2 linked regions of the Saccharomyces cerevisiae S288C genome follow. The protein of the gene in region 2 binds, or shares a complex with, the protein of the main gene of each other region. Each region holds a gene or a part of one and is shown on either strand. Other genes may lie near its edges.

Region 1 (7,247 bases), on a different chromosome or scaffold from region 2:
AACAAATTCAAAAAATTTTCTTATAATAAACCTTAACATGGAGTTTCCGTTAACACACTATATGGAAGCGAAACGTGTGAATCAACAGAATCAACCACAGCATATCATAAACCTGAACATAGACACGACTGAAAAACTCAAACGTGCTATACCGCCAAGCAGAAAATCCATTTGCTCCTACTTTATTTTCTACGTCTCCTTGCAATCTCCGTTCCATTTTATCATCCTCCCTCAAACTGAACACACCCCTCCACCAGGATTAATTCATAGCTTCCGTCATGCTACCTGAATATTTTAGGGTCCGGTCACTTAAAAATGAACGCGTTCATAGCAAGGCACATATATCCAAAGTTAAAATGAACAAAGTGCATCGCATAGTTGTATATGCAATACAATCAAATTTCCTCAAATAAAAAGAACAATTGAGAGAATGAAAAAGGAAGAAAAGAGTGATAATTTGAGAAAAAAATAGCTAAACAAAACGATAAATGATTTTGATTGAAATATTTCGGTGCAGTCCTTTTCCGAAAATTGGGGACATTCAATAGAATTTCATCAATGGTTATCCCTCTTTTAGTAGCTAAAAACTGAAAACAAGGCCTGAACTAAAAACCATTCTTCTTTCAAGTTCGATTTTTATCCTGAAAAAATCCTGAAGAGAAAAAATTTCCAGAATATCCGGGTGATGGGCTGGATTGGCAAGGTATAGGGCTGGATTGTATAATTTGTAAGAGAGCACAATAATAAAAGGAACTTTGTTTAAAAAATGTAGTACATTTATATGAAATTTATATGCGATAGTCTACCTTCTAAATGGAATTTCACTACGGCATAATGGACATGTATTGTTACCCGATGATCGAAACCACTTGTAAAGACATGCTCCGTGGAACTTATTTTTACAAGTCGGACATGTCTTCGAAGGTAGTTTCCTATCCACGGCATGTAGTATAGAGTAACATATGGCACATTCCTCGAAACCAGAAAATTGTAAGTGCACATTTTTAGTAAACAACTCCAACGAATCCAAAACGGATCCATTCATGCCTGTAATTACATGTTGTGTAGACATTATCCATTGTTTCCATTTTTGTTCACTTATACCAACTCTAGAGACGCCATTAACTTGGATATTTGTTAAAGGGTAGTTTTTTGGTAGTTTGAAGGAAATCTCCAACTTTTGGTCGTCAATCAAATAGCTTGCCTTCACTTCATTAGTAATATTATTTAATTTAATAGTCAAAGCATCATCATTAGAAGTCAGGCGGTCCATCTTAGAATTGATATCGTCAAATTCATTTTTGATCAAAATTGGGGAGATGAACTCTGAGACAAACTTTTCAATATCATTTTGTAATGTCCTATCTTTTATATTTAACCACCAAATACTCGTTAGACAACCGACGTTGTTAAACAACTGATAAAGTGTATGGCCCAAAAGTTTTTTACATTCTTCAAATATGTCTTCTTTATAAGGAGAGAAATTATTGCCGACAATGTTGTATTCCGAAATTTCCTTGGTGTCGACCTGTTTCCAAAACTCAGTATCTCTTAAATCTATTTGATCTGTTATGAAATCAAACATTCTATTGATTAAACCAGCTTCCTTTAATTGTTCAATAAATATTTGTCTCATATTATAAGACGTATCTTTGAAGTACATCAGTATCAAGTGCCAATACCATAGATATTTAATAAATGAATTTTTATTCTCGTATTCAAGGTATTCTTTTGGCACCTCATCAGTAACTTTTTGTAATAATTTTTGAGGTAGTTTAAATTTTGAGTTTACATCATTATCAGATGCACTACCATCTACGTCTGAGCCAGTTTGTTTTTGAATCCTCAGTTCATACTCAATTATAATATCCTGCTGTGTTTTTACCACCAAAGAACCCAACAAAGTAGTTAATAATCTTGATTGATTAATATTACTACCGATATCCTTATCATTCAATACAACCTCGAATATTCTTTTGTATTGAGATTCTAACTTTTTGAGTTCCATTGAGGAAATGACCTTGTACAATTTCTGGTAGAAGAGTGTGGATACTTGGTTATTTCTTTCTTGATTAAAGTTGAGAAACATCAGTTCAATCAAATTTTCTTGAATTTCATCACCATATTCTGAGATTTCCTCGCCATTTTTGGAAACGCCTTGCGACAATGTTTCATATAAGTTCAAACAGGAAGAGCGAAGTTCTAACAAATATAAAGTGTCATCAATTTGACACATCGATAGAGAGTCTGCCAGCAACCTTTCCGAAAGTTCAAAAGCTGTTATGCCCATATCTCTGACTCCTTCAAACCTCATCAGTTTGGTGAAAAAATCTAGTAGTAACAATCTAACGGTGCTAAAGCTAGGCTCGTAGGCAAGATCACTATCCAACCATTTTAGTATTGAACGGAATATCATGTTCAGTCTCTGCGGTGCTATAGGAACAAACTGTTTATCTGCCTGTGGGATATCCAGCAGATTATTTAAAAGAGCTAACGACTTGAATTCTTGATCGACAAGTTCTACTTCTCTAATCCCAATCAATTGAGATGCCAGCAATGTCCTTAATTTCGTTATCTCATCTTTTGAGTTGGACCTGTTAAACATCAATAGTAATATAGCACATAGGAGATAATCTTTATCAGTAGATTTTTGATCCCTCACAGTTTTCGTGACAAAACTTTCAACCGATGCTAATAGCCCATTTAATGTGGTGGATGAAACAGTATCAATGCTGTTCAATAGAACCTTATATAATACTCTTGAATAATAAAAAAAGTAGACAGAATTACTTTCAGCAATATCAAAAGTAAGCATAGCATCACCACCATTAGCAGGCTGAATAACGTTTCCAACAATATCAGAAAAGTTCAAATTTACTTTGCCATGTTTGAAAAAGGTATGCCCAAAATCATAGTAAAGATCATTTGGTTCCTCTGAAAGGCAATTATAATCAGTGACGAGCTCAGAAACTACAGTTATAAATGCAACAATATGGTTATTAACGCGCTCTGGAAGAGCATCAAGTAGGGCATCTAAGAATAGAGCATACCTGATGAGCTTTTGCATATTTTTTAAATTGATAGGCTTATCATCTGTAAGGAGCAAATGCGTGTTAGTACTTAAGCTGCTCACTAAGGATGACCTATAATCAATTGCTGGCATATATCTGGCAAAAACTTCGATTGCGTTAGCGGGAAAAAAAATCTGAGAAGTATCGTTGCAGCCATTAATTAGCTCCACGGCGTGTGTGACATATTTTTCTTTTGCCCCGGGGCTGAAATAAACCTGAGCATGTTGCAAAATCACTTGGGCCAACTTATTAGCGATTTCAGAATTCCCTTTAGCCAACTGTAATGACAACTTGAATAGTTTCTCATTAGTGTCTTCTGAAACTTCATACAATGCACAAGAAAGAAAATCGGTATTCAGCAATAACGTTGAAAAAAAAGTTTCATCTAATTTAGACAAAACAGCACAAAATTGTTCAACTTGGCCATTGGCAACTGCGCTTCGGTAAAGTGTGGTGATAGTCCTTTGATTTAAAAATTTATTATTACCTTTAAATATTTCCCCACTGTCGTCAAACTTATAATTTTTCATAAAGTCTTCAATGTACAATTCTAATTCTAGGGAATCTGATTTCATTAATTGTTGATAAATATCATTGTCCAACTCATTCATTGTGGCTAAAATTATTGTCTTTGGTAAGTTAAAAGAAAGCGCAACGATAAAAAAGTCTTCCAACGAAGTAATCGCGTCAGTATTCATTTTGAAAAATTTGGAGTTTGAGTACTGTGCCATGATACCAGCAAAGTTTTGATATGTTGATTCTTGGACCAACGTTGGAATTTCGTTTATAAATTTCCCTATCTTCCCATTCAAGAAAATCATATCTGAATCTAAAAAGTAATTGAGAGCATCATATACACCGTCGTATTTGTTGAAAACATTTGAGGGATCTGTTTCGATTAATTGCACAAAAAAATCGAATAAACGACTAATTGCGGATTCGTTATTAGGAGAAGTAACCAATAAAGCAAAAAGATTCTTCTCAAAGCTCACCTTTATTTTTCTTATGTCTTCGTCTGAAGTGAAGTAATCTTCAATCTCTCTCTCCCATTTATCGGGTGGAAAGACGCCACTAAGAGTCTGGTTCAGTTTTGTGTACTCAGATAAAGATTTCCCGCAAGACAGAGAGTTAAAAATCTCACTTTCCACCATTTTTTTCACTCTTTCTTCTGATGAATCCTCAGCGAACTTCAAAAAATTTGTCCAAAACTCATTAAGAACCTCAGCGCTGTTTCTCGCAGAAAAGCCCTTTTCATTCAGTCTTTGCACCGATTTTTGCCAAAATGGAAGCCATTCAAGATAATAATCAAGAAAACTGTGTCTTTTAGTCGAGCTGTACAATGCAAACACAGCATTGAAAAATCCTGGCGATGGTGAAGTACGGGAAACCGATAAAAATTTGAGTACTTTTTCTTTAGAAGATTTATCGTATGACCATATTGTCCCATCTTCATAGTCATCCAAGGTAGCTAAAAGGTTCAGTATTGATGGGAGAACAGGGCATACTTTTAGAATATTCTTTGACGTAATATGAGTCAACGATTTCAATAGTTTTTTCACCGCTAACTTCATTATATTTTTGTGGGAAGGCATGTAACCTCTTGTATAAAGAACATCAATCAATCGAAGAACTGTTTCGTAGGCATTTGTATTTTGCCCATTTTTTAAGTTAAGTAGTTTCCAGATTGACTCATCAGAAAGAATCACCTTAAGACTGGAAGAATTACGTTCTGAGACGTCTTTGTTATGAACAAAAAGCTTAATCAGCAGCAATACGGCACTTGCTATAACTCTGTGGTATCTAAACTCAGATTCTTCTTTACTGGAGTAACGTTCATCAGAAATGGTATCTTCATTCTCGTTTACAACAATCTCCTTTACTAAATTCAATAGTTGTTCTTGAAAAACAGCCCATAAGGCGTTAATTTTTGCTGGGTCTTTGTTGAAACACTCTGTTAATTCATTAAGAGAAGGTTTGGAAACACTATAATCGAGTTCGCATGTACCGAGAAGTATCAAAGGTATAAAATCCTTTAAAAACTTCGATATTTTCTTCCGAAGGCTTTTGACAAGCATTATAGTAATTTGATGTGATTGCAGTCTGATGACCTTGTAATCACTAATTATCAGTTTAGCATATATCTGCGACCAACAAAGAAGAAAAATGTCATTGAAAAAGTACTCATTCTGGTTAAAGTCGCTGATCAAATTGGAAAGATCCATTAAAGCTTTTTCTTTTGTAGTTTCATCTCTTTTCAGAAGAGATTTGAAAATGAGTTTCAGCTCGTTCGAGTACAAGGAGTTTAAAAGACTTGGATCCGGCAAACCATCAAAGTAGTTTAAGGATATTCTAACACCATTATGGCCGAGCCCTAAATCTGTGTTATACTGTTGAAATGTATTGATTCCACCAAACGACATTAAGAACCAACTATTGCTTGAACTTTTTTTGATGGCTTAGCAGATTTGAACTATTAAGAAGGACTTCTTCAGTATTGTATATATTGAAGAAAACCATCTGAAGTTGCAACATTTGAATTTTTCCTATGACGTTTTTTTTCCTCGCTTCATCAATATTTTTCAGTTTTCCATGTTGGGGCATAATCTGGGTTAACTCGAATTGACAAGTATATAGTCAAGCTGGAGGTAAGAAGTACGTAACATTTAAAGAGCATTGTGACGATATTCTGTTCTTGATTAACTATAATTTTAAATATGAAGTTACACTAATTGCAAAGTAGCAAAAAATTTGGACGAGTCCGGAATCGAACCGGAGACCTCTCCCATGCTAAGGGAGCGCGCTACCGACTACGCCACACGCCCATTTCTTATTGTAATTTCTAGCCACTGTAAAAAGTGAAATCAGTTTAAAATGGAAGTGTCTATCAAAACTTACTATCCACTATCAAGTAATTACTCATGATTGTCGTGTTGGAATAAAAATCAACTATCATCTACTAACTAGTATTTACGTTACTAGTATATTATCATATACGGTGTTAGAAGATGACGCAAATGATGAGAAATAGTCATCTAAATTAGTGGAAGCTGAAACGCAAGGATTGATAATGTAATAGGATCAATGAATATTAACATATAAAACGATGATAATAATATTTATAGAATTGTGTAGAATTGCAGATTCCCTTTTATGGATTCCTAAATCCTCGAGGAGAACTTCTAGTATATCTACATACCTAATATTATAGCCTTAATCACAATGGAATCCCAACAATTACATCAAAATCCACATTCTCTACATGTCGGAAGAGGAACCACCTACCCCCTATAGTCTAGCATCCATCTTATTACATATACGACGTAGAAATATGGCATAAAGGTAAAGATTTAAAAGCTGCCATCAAATTTAATGGGGGTGGAACGCACGACTTGATAATGCAATAGGATAATGAGTGACAACATATAAAGTGGAACGAGAAACCATAATATTATTATGAAGAATCATCGATCCTTTTATGGATTCCTATATTTTCGAGTAAAACTTAAGGTATATTCGGTATAAGATAATGTTGTCCAAATTGTATTGTTATGGAAATGGTATTCAACAACTATCTCAAAAGTCACCTATTTCCCGTGCTTTTCGCATTCTATCACCTGTATTATTATATTGCATGATATCAAAAAGATGAATCATTCAGTGTAAATGGCACACAAATGTGCAAGTGCCAAGCTATTGAGTGGAATAATGGCCTTGTTATTTAATGGTAAGAGCCTTCTGAGGCCAATCTGCCTTCACGTACACAACCACCTTGTTAGTAACAGTGATACCAACATAGTTTGGCCGTGAGGCTAACCTTAGTGGTTTATTGCAATACTCAATACTGTTCTTAGACAATTATCCAACCATCGCCATTAAATGATAAAAAAATAAATTGACTGCTTAATTTTGCTGATACAATGCACTATATTATCGGCTGATGTAATGGTATTGTTATTCAACCTCCTCTCGGCATTGCAACATACTAATAGCCACCCTAGGGTGTCATTAGCATGCCTATACCGAGGCATACGAAAGCAACTAGCCATCAATTCCATCACCCTGTCATTCAACTCCGCTTCATGATCAGGACAGTTTGCACGTTATCAGATAAACTATGATACCGCTATTATTGAACTCTCTATGATATTCTATGAGCGTTTCTATTAAAAAGCTTGA
Region 2 (4,575 bases):
ATCCATCTGGCAAGGAGTTTGATGAAGCTTCTGAAGCTGTAAAAGAAATGGAGCTGTTGATGAACTCACAATATCCGTGGGTGAAATTTGCCTCAAATGCGTGGGGCCTCCCTTTAAAAGGTAAGAATCATTTGAGAATATACAAAGAAAAATCCGAAGACAAATTGTCGATGGTATATCATCTAAAAATGTATCGACAATTACCGTGTTTTATAACAAATAAATACGCGGACTATGTTCCAAAAAGTATAATAAAAGACGCTAATCTTTGGAATGTAATGTCAAAGGTGGAAAAAATCATAAATACTCTAAATTCGGACTTGGAAGGACAAACAATGCAATACCAGGCAATATCTAGTAAATACTCGAAATGGAGACAAACAGTTCCTACGTCAAAACAAAGAGACTTTGTTTTCAGAAAGCTAAAGAAAGTATATGGTGAGTCCTCAAAAGATTTTATTAGATTATCTTTGGATGATGTTACTACTTATGTAAATACTAAGATGACGAAAGGAGATGCTTCCAACTTAATCTTTGCCAGCAGTTTGGCACCTGTCTACCCGTTGAAATCATTGTTACGAATATTAGAATATCAAAAAAGAAGATCTTTTATAAAGTGAAATCCGTAGCTACATAAATGTGCATATATTAATATACAGTCACTAGTACATATGTAAACGTCGGACCACTCGTATATGCATTTTCTTTTGGATCACACCCTTTCTGAACTATGCAATGAATAACGTTAAATTCAAATAAGTGCTTTAGCCTTACTCTGCGTACTAGAAAATGAGCTGCAACATTTCTTATTAACCCTCATTTTCATTTGACTCTTCATTTTCATGAATGTACTGTTGCAAAGATATTTGTCTAATTTGATTCAACAGGTCCTCATCTTGCATTCTTTCTGCCTGAAGGACAGCTAAATCCTTTTCATTAATAAAGGTTTTGATGTTTTCAACCACTTCGATTGATTCTTTTGACGTAGGCATTGGTGGTAATACGTCAAACTCATATACTTCATTATCAGACCAGATAAATGATGGAATTGCAGCCATTACAGAAGACTCCTCAGATAGTATGGCGAATCTTAATAAGTTAATTGGGATTCCCGCAATAAAGAAAGGTGATTGCAAGTTGTTAATGTTATTGTGATCTTGCCCATCATTTGAATCGATTGTAACGTTTCCTCTATGGTAATCCTGTAAAATACTCGACATTTCATCATGCAAAAATGTTACCTCTTCGTTTCTATTCCAAAGTAACGGGAAGCGGGCCATATATGCCTTTAATTCCAAGTTTTCTGCCGAATGGCCATCAATGGATAAATCTTTAGTTAGCGCATGATCGCCCAAGAGTTTCTCCTTGAAAAGTTCTGACAGTTGTAAAGGATGATGCTTAAAGGCTTTTAGAAGCGCATTGCGGGCGGAACTCATCTCATTTATTCTTAGGAAGCTTAGTACTACCGCCAAGGAAAATCCTAAAGTATTCCACTGTTTATAACAGTTCATTAATGGAGAGTTGGATAATTCTATAATGTACTGATAGTCATTATTCAATAGAAAATAGTGATCGAGGAAATACCTGCATCCTAAAGGATCTTCCAATGGGCTCAGTGACCAGAGAACTTTTGTCCATTCACTAGCAGTTCCTATAACACCTCTTTGAGCAAGAGATTGGATGTATCTAAATATTGCCAAGTAAAACTGTCTGTTGAAGAAGTATATATAAGGTAGTTGACAATTCAAGGAATCGAAAATAATATTTGCTTTCAAAGCTCTATCAAAGACAAAGAGTGCTCTTTGTAACAATCCATTAGTGTTTGATCTATCACCTTGCCTAATAAATATCAAAGCAACTTGTAGCAGTCCAGGCACATGATACGGAAATTTAGAAGAAATCAAATTTATAAGGGCTTCATGATCAGGGTGAACAATAACACTTAAGTAGAAGTCCATCATTGATTTCTTGCTCAGGTCGGAATTTAAAGGTTCGAACTTATAAAAAGAAATGAATTTTTGCCACTGACTGACATCGTTTTGGATAACATCCTTCCAATCTAACGGCCTTTCCCATAATTGCCAATCTAAAAGATCATCAGAACTTAAAAGTTTCATAGAGAGCTCACCTCTTTGAGTTGGGATCCAATCATCTCTGATCTTGGTAAACTTCAAATGTTGCGGGTGCATTCCGGGGCCATTAGGTGCCAATCTATGATCTTTTCCGCCCCAGTTTCTAATTAATCTTTTCAGTCTCTGAATCTGTTTCAGCTGCTGAGGGGAGACAGGTGTGGATGTCATCGAATCAATATCTTCAAGAGACTCTGGAGATATATCGTCAAATAAAAGTTTGAATTCCGTATGGGGGTCCAATTTCTTGAAATCATTTTGAAAAAATTTGCAAGAATGCCTCAAACATGAAATGGGGAACTTTGTGAAGCCCGGATCACTTTCTAAGCTTAAAAATGACTTCCAAGGTTGGCTAGATGCTTCCTCTGGTTCAGATGCCGTGAAGAAACCTTCCTCATTAGTGTCATCATTTTTAGTCTTACCGTACTTCAATATATCAGTTTTTTTGAACTGTTGGATAATCTTGTCGAATTCTTCATCATCATCATCATCATCGGAACCCTTGTCTTTTGCAGCCTCGGCGGTATGGTTTTTTTGCTTCCTTTTTGCCTTTTTATTCTTTTTCCTTCTAGAAGACTTGGATGCTAGTGTAATTCTTTTAGGTTGACCATTACTTTGAGTATCACGCTCCCCAGCAGCAGCAGCTTCTTCATCCTGCTCAGACATTTGTCCTTCATCAGTGCTATTATCTGAATCACGTACGTTATTCATCATAGAGAAGATGTTCTCCCGTTTCTGAATATTACCGGCAGTACTTTTACCACTCGTCATTTTATTCGCATTTGAATTCGATAGCAGCGACTCTAGCAGAGCATTATCATCTTGTAATCTCCTTAATGCTCTAGAGCTCATGTTCGAGTACTTTACAAATATATTTAGATGATTCAACGACCTGTATGTTAACCTTCAACTGGTGGACTGTATGTACTACCTATGGACATTTTTCACTATACGTTGATGCAGTAGTGAACATATTGCTCGCATAATGTTACCCGTTTATACCTCTATACGATTATTAAGGGAGGGTAATACTTTCTCAATTTTTTTTTTTTCAGTTTTTAATATTATTTCCTTAAGATTTTTCGGTGGCGTTTCGCGACAACTTACGAGAAAAAAAAAAAAGAGGAGACTTGAAGAAAGAGTGCAAAGGGATAGCGGGATTCTAAAGTGTTTACGTGCAAAAAGGATAGATTTTGAGCTTTAAACTAGATAAGACCCAAAGCATTCGATTACTGCATTTGAGAGGTATTCAACAATACCATTTTAACTCTTAGAAAATATTTCCTTAAGCTGAAAATTTATGAATTCTAACTGCTCTTTGCATTTTCCAAGTTATTGCATTACAAGAATATATGACCACATCTCGTAAATCGCATGCGAAAGACAAAAAGGCTGGTGGTGAACAGGATCTGGCGGATTTGAAGTTTAGGTATGATCTTCTGACGAATGAACTGTTCCATTTAAGAGAGTTTGTTTCATTGGTAGATTATGATCCAACCCATTTTAATGATTCTGAAAGTTTTCAGAAGTTTCTCAGGGAAACACACTTGTCGTTAGAGGAGAGAGGAGAAAAATTCACTGATGACGTAGCCAAGAAAGGCACGAATGGTGATCTTACTCGCAGAAGGCGAAACCTCAGGACATCGACAGTTGTTAGTTCAGAAACGACTAATGAGAAAAAGGGTGATATAGAACTGAAGTTAGAAAGCATAGCACCATTAGTACGAAATAAATGTGAGGAGCTAAAATACAAACTAAGTGATCATTCAAATAGGAAATCTATAGTACCGCAAAAAAGACCAATACAACATTTGAAGAAGAGAGAAGCAGCGAAGTCCTTGAAGTTCAAAAGTGAAAGAAAGGAAAATCCACTGCCATTGCATGAACATATAGCTGAAGAGAGATATGATCACATCGCAAAAGTTGAAGAACCCTCTGAAGCCTTCACTATAAAGTGTCCTTCTGATGATAGCTCCTTTGAAAATACTAGTGAACATTATAGTGATAATTTTTATTTCACCACATCATCCGAAGAGGAAGATATAAAGAAAAAAAGAGGTAGAAAGAAAAAGAAGCCTAGAATAAAACTGGTAGTCCATCCTCCAAAGCAAACCATAACGAACCCGTTGCATGTAGTCAAGCCGGGATACGAAAGCTTGCACGAATACATCGCTTCCTTTAAGTCATTAGAAGACGATTTAACGCTGGAAGAATATAATAAATACATCGACGAACAAAGACGGCTTTTATCGAGACTCAAAAAAGGTATTGAAAATGGCGCATTGAAGTATGACAAAGAAACGGACTCACTACAACCTATAACATCCAAGGAAATCAAGACTATCATAACATATAAACCAGACCCGATTTCATATTTCTATAAACAACAAGATCTGCAAATCCATACCGATCACTTAATTAACCAAGGTATTCATATGAGTAAGCT

What was found.
Region 1: RQC1 (region 2) and RKR1 share a complex: the UniProt entries of both Saccharomyces cerevisiae proteins name them as parts of the ribosome quality control complex.

The regions. Positions count from the first base shown.
Region 1 is NC_001145.3:762,549-769,795, forward strand, and holds RKR1 (ubiquitin-protein ligase RKR1), read right to left. Parts: upstream 5,492-7,247; coding exon 803-5,491; downstream 1-802. Other genes in the region: YMR247W-A (uncharacterized protein), read left to right, coding at 6,735-6,878. UniProt on the Saccharomyces cerevisiae protein: E3 ubiquitin-protein ligase component of the ribosome quality control complex (RQC), a ribosome-associated complex that mediates ubiquitination and extraction of incompletely synthesized nascent chains for proteasomal degradation.
Region 2 is NC_001136.10:1,132,451-1,137,025, forward strand, and holds RQC1 (Rqc1p), read right to left. Parts: upstream 2,982-4,575; coding exon 810-2,981; downstream 1-809. Other genes in the region: IRC3 (double-stranded DNA-dependent ATPase), read left to right, coding at 1-620; chromatin-remodeling protein SWR1, read left to right, coding at 3,482-4,575. UniProt on the Saccharomyces cerevisiae protein: Component of the ribosome quality control complex (RQC), a ribosome-associated complex that mediates ubiquitination and extraction of incompletely synthesized nascent chains for proteasomal degradation.